3 linked regions of the Stegostoma tigrinum genome follow. The protein of the gene in region 2 interacts with the protein of the main gene of each other region in a pairwise test. Links are inferred from orthologs where the notes say so. Each region holds a gene or a part of one and is shown on either strand. Other genes may lie near its edges. The genes, in order: calcium/calmodulin-dependent protein kinase type II subunit delta, transportin-2 and apip.

Region 1 (3,751 bases), on a different chromosome or scaffold from region 2:
ATGACTGGTTCGGGTCTGAATTCTAATGCCTTGCCACTGTAAAAAAAATGCCAGGATGCAAAAATAGAGGTGGGAAAATAACAGTAGCTATATCCGTCCTGCAGAGGGCTAGTATGAACATGACAGAGCAAATGGCCTCCTTCTGCGCTGGAACTATTCTCTGAAGCTCAGTTTAAGTCGTAAGGGAGCTTTAATGTTCTCTTCCCCCAGAAAACGGTGCGGGCGAGTGGACGAAATCACGGTCTGACAGAGCGTATATTCGCTCATTCCTCTGAAGGCTTCAAAGATTCGATCCTATCCCAGCAGCAGTTGGCCACTGGAACTGACAAGACCTACAGGAGCCCGTCAGCCACTCCGAAAAGCCAAGTCGAGAATGAGGAGGAGAAGAAGCCTTCACGGAATTAGAACACAGCATCCATAATTCATCCCTTTAGTGATATGAAAGGCCTCGGCACAGGCAAACTTTCAGGCGTATTAAATATGTATCAGGCCAGGCTATGGATTAAATCGCCCAGAATCAGCATAAGGCAAAATGTTTCGCAGTCATTGATTCCACTGAAGTTGTGTGTTTACACGCAGAAGAAATTGCCGTTCCCCCACTTTTACAGATTTGTCCGAAAAAGGGGCGTTGGCAAACTGATTGGAATGTTTCCCAGTCTCAAATACTGACAGACAAATAATAATGCAAGTCTTAACTCGACGTAACTGGCACAACTAGATTTGCTGTTCACTTTTATCAGTGACTTCGCTTGGATGTGTTTCAGCTCACTTTGCATTTCCACAAATTAATTCCGTAGAACTTACCCGTTTCCAATACAGCGCGTAATGGGGGGGGGGGGGGGGGGCAATTGTCAACTCCATTCAAATGACAGCAACTTGCAAGGATTATAACAATTCTGCAGGTGCCATCTATTCATTCCAGGAGATAACTATTCTGACCTTTGCACGCGGCATATTCCTGCAATGCACCCAACATATTAACAGTGGAATGTTACAAAAACGTTGATATAAACCTACCCCTGGCCGACAGTTTTTTGGTATTGATAATTTTGGCAGCGTACTCCTGTCCCGTGGAGATTTTCATGCATCGTCTCACCACCGAGAAGGCTCCCCTGAAAGCAATCGATCACACAAGCATGTATGTATACATATATATCATTCAAGCAAAAATAGTACAAACAGACAACCCTCACCACATTGCAACGCGGCTACAAACCAGCTAAAGCGCAAACAAGTGGAAAGCCAACGTTAAAAAAGCAAAACAATACAGCCCAAAGTATTGAGAACGTGTTTACCAAACACATTTCAGGTGGATTTTGTCAACAAAACATCAAGGGAAACATTTCAAGTCACTGGGCGCAGAATCCGGATTACGATGTGAAACACCTCTCCCCACAGGAGGAGAAAAAGGGACACCATGCATTTTGCTGGATTTTACGTCGTGAGATGGTAGCAGTATCCCACAACATGCCTCGACATTTCCAATAACATTTAACAAAACGTAACTATGCATAACCGTAAGACTGCACTCCGTGAAAATATTATCAATGCAACCCATCTCCTCCACGCCAGAATACCAATGCTTATCGCCAAATTAAGAAAATTTCGTTTGGAAACGCAACTGTGTCAATTCAAACAAACAAAACAGACAGAAATAAAAACGACAAGATGTGTTTGCGTACTTTCCAAGTTCCTCGAAGAGCTGGTATTCGTCCGTGAATCTGGTACACGTTGTGGTTGAAGCCATGGTGAGATGTAGACGAATTCTCGCTGCTGTCTCCGGTGTGTGTGTGTGTGTGTTCAGTCCCTCTCGCCGCTTCACCCCTCCCCCTGCCACCGGGCTTTCAGAGAGAGACCTGCTTCACTGACTCAAGGTGTGCAGCTCAGAGCCGCCGAGCTTCTCTCCCCGACCCTAGGGGGCGGATTTGCAGCCGTTTGTCCTGGTCGAAGAAACTGTATGTGTGAGAGAGACCCAGTCACTGTGACGGCACGGTCCCTCGCTGTTCTGTGTCACTAAAAGCGAAAGCAGTTTCCTCTGAGCGTCTGCGTGTCAAATCAAACTGAGCCGCCCTCCCCTAACATTGTAGTGTAGCCTACACTCAATCAGTCAACCTGGCTCTCCCTCAATCCCTTACCACCTCACTCTCTCTTATTTATCTCGTATAGGAGATATCAACGTGTGTCTCTATCTCTCCCTCCTCCCTACCAGAGTAGGGAAATGAGAAAATAAAACCCCATCTCTGGATTCTCTCAACATCTCGCGATATATTTTACAAAAACCCCAGAGCGGATTACTACAGGCTGGAGGAGGAGAGAGACTGACGTCAATGACCAAGCAGGGGAAAAACTTGGATTTTACATTTCAAAAGACAAATGCTTATGAATAAAATAAATCGCTAAAGTCTGAGCCGAAAGCTCAGCTCAAGGCGCAGTCTTTAATTTCAAGTGTTAAAATATTATCCCTTCCTTAGTTCAGGTTATTAATGGCATTTTCAGATTGTTTCAGCAAGAAATATCAAACTGATATGCAGCCTGGTGTCACTTATAGACTAATATCAAGGGGCTAATTTACTGAGGACTGAGAGCCTTTACCGTTCTTGCTCGCCAGTTCATCCATTCTGTTTTTATTCCTCATTGTATGGTAGCGTCTCATGATTTTGTTTTTAAAATGCCGTTCAGATTTTCTAATGCAGCCTGCTTTTGCCACAAGAGAAACTTTGCTTCATTAGCGGCGACGTGGAGTGTGTAAAGTGGTGCTCTCTCTCCCCTATACTCAATCACCACTAGGAGAGAATGTGTCACTCCGGTGCCCTTACCGAGCAATGAGACTGCACCCTTTCTCCCTTTCGCTTCTCCCTCAGAAAAAAAATGCTAGCTGCATCGCTCACCGCTGCCGCAGTGTTAGAGGCAGCGGCAGCCAGAACCAATCGCTATGACTGTATTTTACAGCAGGGACCAGGCTAGAGAGTTCAGAGTCAAATAATGGCCGAGGTTAGAGTTGGGAACATTTATTTTTAGACACATTTCTGCTTGAATTTATTTTTGTTTGATTTTAAAATTCATTCGGGAAAGTAAACAAGGTTGGTAGAGGAGTGCTGCTTGCAACATGTAAGCAAAAAAAAGTATCAAATATGAAAAAAATGCGTATTTTTTCCCAACAGCCACTACTTTGGATTTCAACTCTATTTGCCTATCTTTGAAGATTTGAAAAATGCAGAAATACCAAACCTTCCATGGACATTGGAGATAGCACTACAGTTGTCAGCTGTGCCTGAGTTAGCACATTAATGAACCAGGAGGTTGTAAGTTTAAGGAACTTCCATTCCAAAGACTTAAGCTCATAATTTATGCTGATGGTGCATAGTACTGAGGAAATGCTGTCTTTCAGCTGAGGCATTATTCTGGAGGCCCGTTGTCTGCTGTGTCAGGTGAATGGTCAAATAATACCGTGTGGAAGAAAATTGGGTTAGTTCTCCGAGTGTTCTCTTTTACATATTCACCCAAGGGATGCAGCTGTCCCTGACTGGGCCAAGATTCAGTACCCATTCCCTGTTGCTCTTGAGAAGGCAGTGGTGAGCTGCATTCTTGAACCATGGCAGTCCATGTACTGAGAGGTGGCAAATGGAGTTTAATGCAGACAAGTGTGAGGTGATGCACTTTGGTAGGATAAAATAATCAGAGGGTTAGATAGGGTGGATAGGGAGACCCTTTGTCCTAGGATGGTGACGGCGAGCACGAGGGAGCATAGCTT
Region 2 (3,751 bases):
GAATAATCCTGCAAAGAGAAGGAAGTTACTGAGGGACGGTCACAAGAAATGAGGATGGGCTAATTCACTTCACCAGGTCAGCCACAATGTAGACACCTCACCCACACTTTCACCTTTTTTTTTGCAACAATCACACCACCATCCCTGTATTATGCCACCCTGCCTGCATTCCCCTTCTCCTCCCCCTGAATGCCTCATTCTGATCTCTGAAATAGCAGCACTATCAGCACCACAAGTCCCCACAAAGAGATGAGTGTTCACTGTTGTACTGAGTGGGATTAGATTGAGCAGCCTCAGCTAATATGGAGAAGCTCCAACCATTTTGTCCCAACAATCCTTACCAATGCCTTCCATAACAATACTGTCAAATAAAAAAGGCGCGGACACCGCAAATGCTCCACGATCCGTTATCAAGCACCAGAATGCCTGTTTGTTGGCAAGGTTTGGTCAACACCAGCACACTGTCAGGAAATGCTGAGGGCGAGTTCTCAAAGCACAAACAGCCACCAATGCCCAGACCCACAGTACGATATTGGTCAGGAGATAGCAGCCAGGACACAGTGAAGGGTCAGGCGGAGTGAACCCAGGGAGTTCATGTCTGATGGGACAGGGTTTGATAGAGAAGGTTTATCCCCACGAGGTAAATACCTTACCCCCAGGGACACAGGGAGAGACAGGGAGAGACACAGGTAAAGCGTGTCCAGCGATTCTAAGGCCCCGGCCCCACACACACACACAACCCCACCCCCCTTCTCTTTCCCCCCCCGTCCAACACACCATCCACCTCTCAGGGATGGAGGCCGCAGCCTCGGGCCTGTACTCGGGCTCCGTCAGCGAGGTAGGAACCCGGCCAGAGCACAGGCCGCAGCCTCGGGCTGGCGGAGGAGCTGAACCCCCATTCCGCGAGTCCAGGCCTCGGGCTCTCCTTCCTCCTCCTCCTTCCTCCCTCCCTCGCTCGCTCGCTCGCTCACTCACCAGCCGCAGGCCAGAGCCCCGGCGTCCTCGGGCGGTCCCTCCCCACAATGGGCTCCTCACGCCGCCGCCGCCTTTACTCCGCCCACTTTCCCCCAGTCCCCGCCCACATCCCGCCAGACCCACCCTCTCCATGTGGCCCCGACTCAGGGCGCCCCCTTACCATCCCCTACTCGACCCGTGTCAGGGTGACCTCCCATCTCCCTGTGTACCCAGTGCCCCCCTGCCCCCTCCCCATGTACCCGGTGTCAGGGTGACCTCCCCCCCATCTCCCTCTGTACCCAGTGCCCCCCTGCCCCCTCCCCATGTACCCGGTGTCAGGGTGACCTCCCCCCCATCACCCTGTGTAACCAGCACAGCCCTGCCCCCTCCCCATGTACCCGGTGTCAGGGTGACACCCCCATCTACCCAGTACACCCCCTGCCCCTGTCCCCATCTCCCTGTGTACCCAGTACCCTCCTGCCCCCTCCCCATGTACCCGGTGTCAGGGTGACCCCCGCTCTCCCCATGTACCCATTGCCCACCTGCCCCCCTCCCCATGTACCCGGTGTCAGGGTGAACACACCCATCTCCCTGTGTATCCAGTGCCCCCCTGCCCCCTCCCCATGTACCCGGTGTCAGGGTGACCCCCCCCCCCATCTCCCTGTGTAACCAGCACAGCCCTGCCCCCTCCCCATGTACCCGGTGCCAGGATGACCTTCCCATCTCCCTGTGTAACCAGTAACCCCCCCACCCCTGCCCCATGTACCCGGTGTTAGGGTGACCCCACGCATCTCCCGGCATACCCAGTGCCCACCTTCCCCTGTCCCCGTGTACCCACTGTCAGGGTGACCTGCCCCCCCCATCTCCCCGTGTACCCAGTACCCCCTGCCCCTCTCCCCCTGTACCCAGTGTCAGGGTGACACCCCCATCTCTCTGTGCACCCAGTGCCCGCCTGCCCCGCTCCCCAGGTACCCGGTGTCAGGGTGAACCCCCATATACCTGGTGTCAGGGTGACCCCCCTCATCTCCCTGTGTACCGACTACCCCACTGCCCTGCTCCCCAGGTACCCAGTGTCATGGTGATCCCCCCATCTCCCTGTGTACCCAGTGCCCTCCTGCCCCCCCTCCCCATGTACCCGGTGTCAGGGTGACCCCCCCAATCTCCCTGTGTACCCAGTACCCCCCTTCCCATGTACCCAGTGTCAGGGTGCCCTCCCATCTCCCTGTGTACCCAGTACCCCCCTGCCCCCCTCCCCATGTACCCGGTGTCAGGGTGATCCCCCCCATCTCCCTGTGTAACCAGTATCCCCCTGCCCCCCTCCCCATGTACCCGGTGTCAGGGTGATCCCCCCCATCTCCCTGTGTAACCAGTGCCCACCTGCCCCTGTCCCCATCTACCCGGTGTCAGGGTGACCCCCCATCTCCATGTACCCAGTTTCGTGCCTGCCCCTGACCCCGCATACCCGGTGTCAGGGTGACACCCCATCTCCCCGTGTACCCACTGTCAGGGTGACCCACCCCCCCATCTCCCTGTGTACCCAGTGCCCGTCTGCCCCTGTCCCCGCATACCCGGTGTCAGGGTGACCCCCCTATCTCCCCGTGTACCCACTGTCAGGGTGACCCACCCCCCCATCTCCCTGTGTACCCAGTACCCTCCTGCCCCCCTCCCCATGTACCCGGTGTCAGGATAACCCCCCATCTCCCAGTGTACCCAGCACCCGCTACCCCCTCCCCATGTACCCGGTGTCAGGGTGAGCCCGCATCCCCCTGTGTACCCAGTGCCCGCCTGCCCCTGTCCCCAATGTCTGGCCCACCCCGTACGTGCCCTGTGTGTGTGTATGTGTATGTCTCCCCCGTGTTGCCCAGTGGTGCCCCATGCCCCCGGTACCTTCCTCCCGCTTTGTCTCAGTCTCTGGTCCCGCCGCCCGGCCCCGGGTTTAAATTCTCTCTGGCCAATCGGACTTGCCGCTTTTGCCACGTGATCGTGTCCCGCTTTTACCCGGCGGTCTCCGCGCTGTGGACCGGCATGCTCCGCCGAGACACGTGGTCTCCCACAGACCTTGGTTCCCATGGAGACGGGGCCTGCTCTCGGGATTCTCATTGAGGGAGTTTCCCCGAGTGAGTAGCAGGTAGGCGGGCGCTCCCTGTTTCTGATGCCTTGGGACACTGTATTAAAACAACAACAGTTCCTTCCCCCTTTGTCCATCAGTGACGCTCATCTCTGGACGGGAACACACGGCCACATCCACCAGTTGCCTTCGGTCTCCCCTGAATTTGTCAGAGCTCCTTATTCTGTACCAAATCAAATTTAAACACGTTTTCCATGTAATGACCATGAATCCGTTGTTGATTCTACCCTTACCTGGTCTGACCTACATGTGACTGCAGACCCACAGCAATGTGGTTGTGTCTTAACTGCCCTCTGGGCAATTAGGGACGGGCAATAAATGCTGCCTAGCCAGCGACTCCCTCATCCCATGAATGGATAAAACAGAAAGATAGGTGAAAGTTGCTTCCCTTGGTGAAGATGTCAATAATCGAAGTACACAAACTGAACAACAAAATAATGAAAGGCAATGCGAGGGGAAATCCAGTAATAGTAAAAGTGATTAGGGTCTGGAACATATAGCCTGAAAATATAGTGGAAGTAAACTCATTCAGAGCTTCCAGATCAGAATTGGATAGAAGAGAAAAAGATTTTCCCAGTTCCAAGGACAAGACAAGGCAAGGCAACAAACTGCATAGCTGGATGAACACAGCAGGCTCAGGAGCACAAAAGCTGACGTTTCGGGCCTAGA
Region 3 (3,751 bases), on a different chromosome or scaffold from region 2:
TAGGTAACATCATCAGTGCACCTCTAGTGAAGCGCTGGTGTTATGTCCCACTTTCTATTTATCTGTTTAGGTTTCCTTGGGTTGGTGATGTCATTTCCTGTGTTGGTGATGTCATTTCCTGTTCTTTTTCTCAAAGGGTGGTATATGGGCTCCAAATAAATGTGTTTGTTGATGGAGTTCCGGTTGGAATGCCATGCTTCTAGGAATTCTCGTGCATGTCTCTGTTTGGCTTGTCCTCGGATGGATGTGTTGTCCCAATCAAAGTGGTGTCCTTCCTCATCTGTATGTAAGGATACTAGTGATAGTAGGTCATGTCTTTTTGTTAGTTGACGTTCATCTACCCTGGTGGCTAGCTTTCTGCCTGTTTGTCCAATGTAGTGTTTGTCACAGTTCTTGCAAGGTATTTTGTAAGTGACAGAGATAATGGGAACTGCAGATGCTGGAGAATTCCAAGATAATAAAATGTGAGGCTGGATGAACACAGCAGGCCAAGCAGCATCTCAGGAGCACAAAAGCTGCCGTTTCGGGCCTGGAACCTTCATCAGAGAGGGGGATGGGGAGAGGGAACTGGAATAAATAGGGAGAGAGGGGGAGGCGGACCGAAGATGGAGAGTAAAGAAGATAGGTGGAGAGAGGATAGGTGGGGAGGTAGGGAGGGGATAGATCAGTCCAGGGAAGACGGACAGGTCAAGGAGGTGGGATGAGGTTAGTAGGTAGCTGAGGGTGCGGCATGGGGTGGGAGGAAGGGATGGGTGAGAGGAAGAACCGGTTAGGGAGGCAGAGACAGGTTGGACTGGTTTTGGGATGCAGTGGGTGGGGGGGAAGAGCTGGGCTGGTTGTGTGGTGCAGTGGGGGGAGGGGACGAACTGGGCTGGTTTAGGGATGCAGTAGGGGAAGGGGAGATTTTGAAACTGGTGAAGTCCACATTGATACCATATGGCTGCAGGGTTCCCAGGCGGAATATGAGTTGCTGTTCCTGCAACCTTCGGGTGGCATCATTGTGGCAGTGCAGGAGGCCCATGATGGACATGTCATCTAGAGAATGGGAGGGGGAGTGGAAATGGTTTGCGACTGGGAGGTGCAGTTGTTTGTTGCGAACTGAGCGGAGGTGTTCTGCAAGCTTGGGGACCGCTGCATCCCTAAACCAGCCCAGTTTGTCCCCTCCCCCCACTGCACCACACAACCAGCCCAGCTCTTCCCCCCCACCCACTGCATCCCAAAACCAGTCCAACCTGTCTCTGCCTCCCTAACCGGTTCTTCCTCTCACCCATCCCTTCCTCCCACCCCATGCCGCACCCTCAGCTACCTACTAACCTCATCCCACCTCCTTGACCTGTCCGTCTTCCCTGGACTGACCTATCCCCTCCCTACCTCCCCACCTAAACTCTCTCCACCTATCTTCTTTACTCTCCATCTTCGGTCCGCCTCCCCCTCTCTCCCTATTTATTCCAGTTCCCTCTCTGATGAAGGGTCCAGACCCGAAATGGCAGCTTTTGTGCCCTGAGATGCTGCTTGGCCTGCTGTGTTCATCCAGCCTCACATTTTATTATTTTGTAAGTGACGTTTGTTTTGCTTGTTGTCTGTATAGGGTCTTTTAAGTTCATTCTATGTGGTTATATGTGGTTAAGAAACAGAGGGGTTCAAATTATGAGGTGAGGGGAGGTTTGTGATGTCCCGACAGAGCACATTTAAGTATTGTTTGTTTATACTGCTTTTCTTTCCTTTAGCTGGAAAGGAAGAATGATTGGTGGGAGGATCAGGAAACAAAGGACATTGTTTGAGTGTGTCTGGCAAAAGAGACAATGATGGCATGAGAAAAGTCATTATTATTCAGACAGTACGGTAGTCAGGATCTGAAATAAACTGTTAGATGATCTCACAGAAAACTGGGCACACGTGCTAAAAACATTGAATGCTTTCAATGAGCTAGATAGCATTTTAAAGGCTAAAGGGAACAAAGAGAATGGCAAAAGTGGGCATAGGGGTACTGACTTGCATGATCATCATGATCATATTGAACAGAGATGTGGAGGTGTCAGTGTTGGACTGAGGTGGGCAATGCCAGAAGTTACAGAACACAAGGTTGTTGTCCAATATTTCACCTGATTGAAGGAGCAGGGCTGAAAAAGCTTGTGATTTCAAATAAACCTGTTGGACTATAACCTGGCAATGTGCAACTTCTGACAGTGAATAGTGGTGTGGGCATGATGGGCCAAATGGCCTACTGCTGTTCCTATGTTCCATGTTTGACACGATGGACCGAATGGCCTCTTTCTGCGTTGTTACTTGTCCATGACTGACCTTACACCGTACAATGGCAAAATCCTTAATGTAACCTCTTTGAAAGGTCTATTTTATAGAGGCCTCAGACAATATGGTGCAGACAAGCTGGGGAAATATCAGACGTGGAGGAAGAAGGTCAGACCGTATAACATTTCACCAAGGGAAAAACAAAACGGCCTGTATCGACTGCTTTCTTGCTGCCAGATTGCTGAGCTTCTCCAGCACTTTCTGTTTTTGTTTCTGATCAACCAGCACACGCAGTTCTTTGTTTCATAAAAATAGGCACAAACTAAACTAATGTCCGGCTGAAATCGGCACAGCAACAGCCCCCGTTCTCCCTCTCTACCGCCCACGACCTCACCTCCAACTCCGGCTCCATGTCCTCTCAAAAGGGGGCGGGACGGAGCGTGCAGGAGGCGGGACGTTACGTGAATGGGGGCGGAGTGTGATCGAGTGAGGCGGGGCGTGGAGGGTCAGGGCGGTACGTGCTGTGGGGGTGGGCGTGAGGTGATGGAGCGAAGCGTGCAGGGGTGGGGCGGAGCGCTCAGTTTGCTGGGTAGCGAGGGTGGGGGAGGGCAGGAAGGGGGCGGGGCGCAACGTGCAGTGGATGGGGCGGAAATCCGTTGGTCGGGCCCACAGCGCAGGTGCGGGGCGGAACTTGCCAGCGTGGGAGGAAGGCGCAGCGGTGGGGCGGAGCTTGTAGTGGATGAGCGGGACACAGCGTATGTTTGGGCCGTGTAGTAAGTCCTCCTTTGCTTGGGTACGGCCATCATGGCCGCTTCGCTGCTCGGCTCCCTTAGTGTCCTTCGAGTGGCCCTTACGTCTCGGAGCCTCCCGCTTTTGGCCGTCCGCTTAGGTCACTGCCGGTATGTGGGCTCTAGTCGCCGGCTTTTGGGTGAGTGAGAAAAGGGCAGATAGAGACGGGAAAGATGAAGGGAGGATATTGAACGAGGGGTAGGGAATTGGGGAAAGCTCGTGGGTGGGGTGGGGTGGGGCGCTGGAATGATATGGCGCAGAATATGGGAGCTAGTGTTCAGAATGAGGCTGAGGGGACAACAGGCCAGAATGATAAGGAAATGGTGGTATTGGTGGAAAAATTGGTGGTGAAGCAGGGACAGAATGGTATTGTGTCTTGCCACCCGTAGTTTCTGGGTGTGTTCTTTAGAGGCTGACGTGATTTAGTGTGTATGAGAGTATAGCACCTTCTGGTTTAAGGAGAAGAGCCTTGTGGAGTAAACGAAATACAGTTTATTGTTAATTTGCAACCAATTAAACGTTATAACGTAGCTTCTATGTCATGACAAGTGTTGGGAATAAGCGATGGTAGGAACTGCAGATGCTGGAGAACCTGAGATAACAAGGTGTAGAGCTGGATGAACACAACAGGCCAAGCAGCATCAGAAAGCTGATGTTTTGGGGAGTTAGGGAGTGGATAGGTCAGTCCAGGGAGGATGAACAAGTCAAGGGA

What was found.
Region 1: the proteins of transportin-2 (region 2) and calcium/calmodulin-dependent protein kinase type II subunit delta interact in binary tests that used the Homo sapiens proteins (3 or more experiments, as listed by UniProt). The two-hybrid records come from large-scale screens. The link is inferred for Stegostoma tigrinum from reciprocal best matches to the Homo sapiens genes TNPO2 and CAMK2D.
Region 3: the proteins of transportin-2 (region 2) and apip interact in binary tests that used the Homo sapiens proteins (3 or more experiments, as listed by UniProt). The two-hybrid records come from large-scale screens. The link is inferred for Stegostoma tigrinum from reciprocal best matches to the Homo sapiens genes TNPO2 and APIP.

The regions. Positions count from the first base shown.
Region 1 is NC_081354.1:65,026,637-65,030,387, forward strand, and holds the start of calcium/calmodulin-dependent protein kinase type II subunit delta, read right to left. Parts: upstream 2,292-3,751; 5' UTR 1,748-2,291; coding exon 1,683-1,747; intron 1,113-1,682; coding exon 1,018-1,112; intron 1-1,017. UniProt on the Homo sapiens protein: Calcium/calmodulin-dependent protein kinase involved in the regulation of Ca(2+) homeostatis and excitation-contraction coupling (ECC) in heart by targeting ion channels, transporters and accessory proteins involved in Ca(2+) influx into the myocyte, Ca(2+) release from the sarcoplasmic reticulum (SR), SR Ca(2+) uptake and Na(+) and K(+) channel transport.
Region 2 is NC_081388.1:23,996,910-24,000,660, forward strand, and holds the start of transportin-2, read right to left. Parts: upstream 2,949-3,751; 5' UTR 2,842-2,948; intron 1,068-2,841; exon of another isoform or gene 976-1,067; intron 916-975; exon of another isoform or gene 778-915; intron 9-777; 5' UTR 1-8. UniProt on the Homo sapiens protein: Probably functions in nuclear protein import as nuclear transport receptor. Serves as receptor for nuclear localization signals (NLS) in cargo substrates.
Region 3 is NC_081370.1:13,301,557-13,305,307, reverse strand, and holds the start of apip (methylthioribulose-1-phosphate dehydratase), read right to left. Parts: upstream 2,686-3,751; 5' UTR 2,663-2,685; coding exon 2,645-2,662; intron 1-2,644. UniProt on the Homo sapiens protein: Catalyzes the dehydration of methylthioribulose-1-phosphate (MTRu-1-P) into 2,3-diketo-5-methylthiopentyl-1-phosphate (DK-MTP-1-P).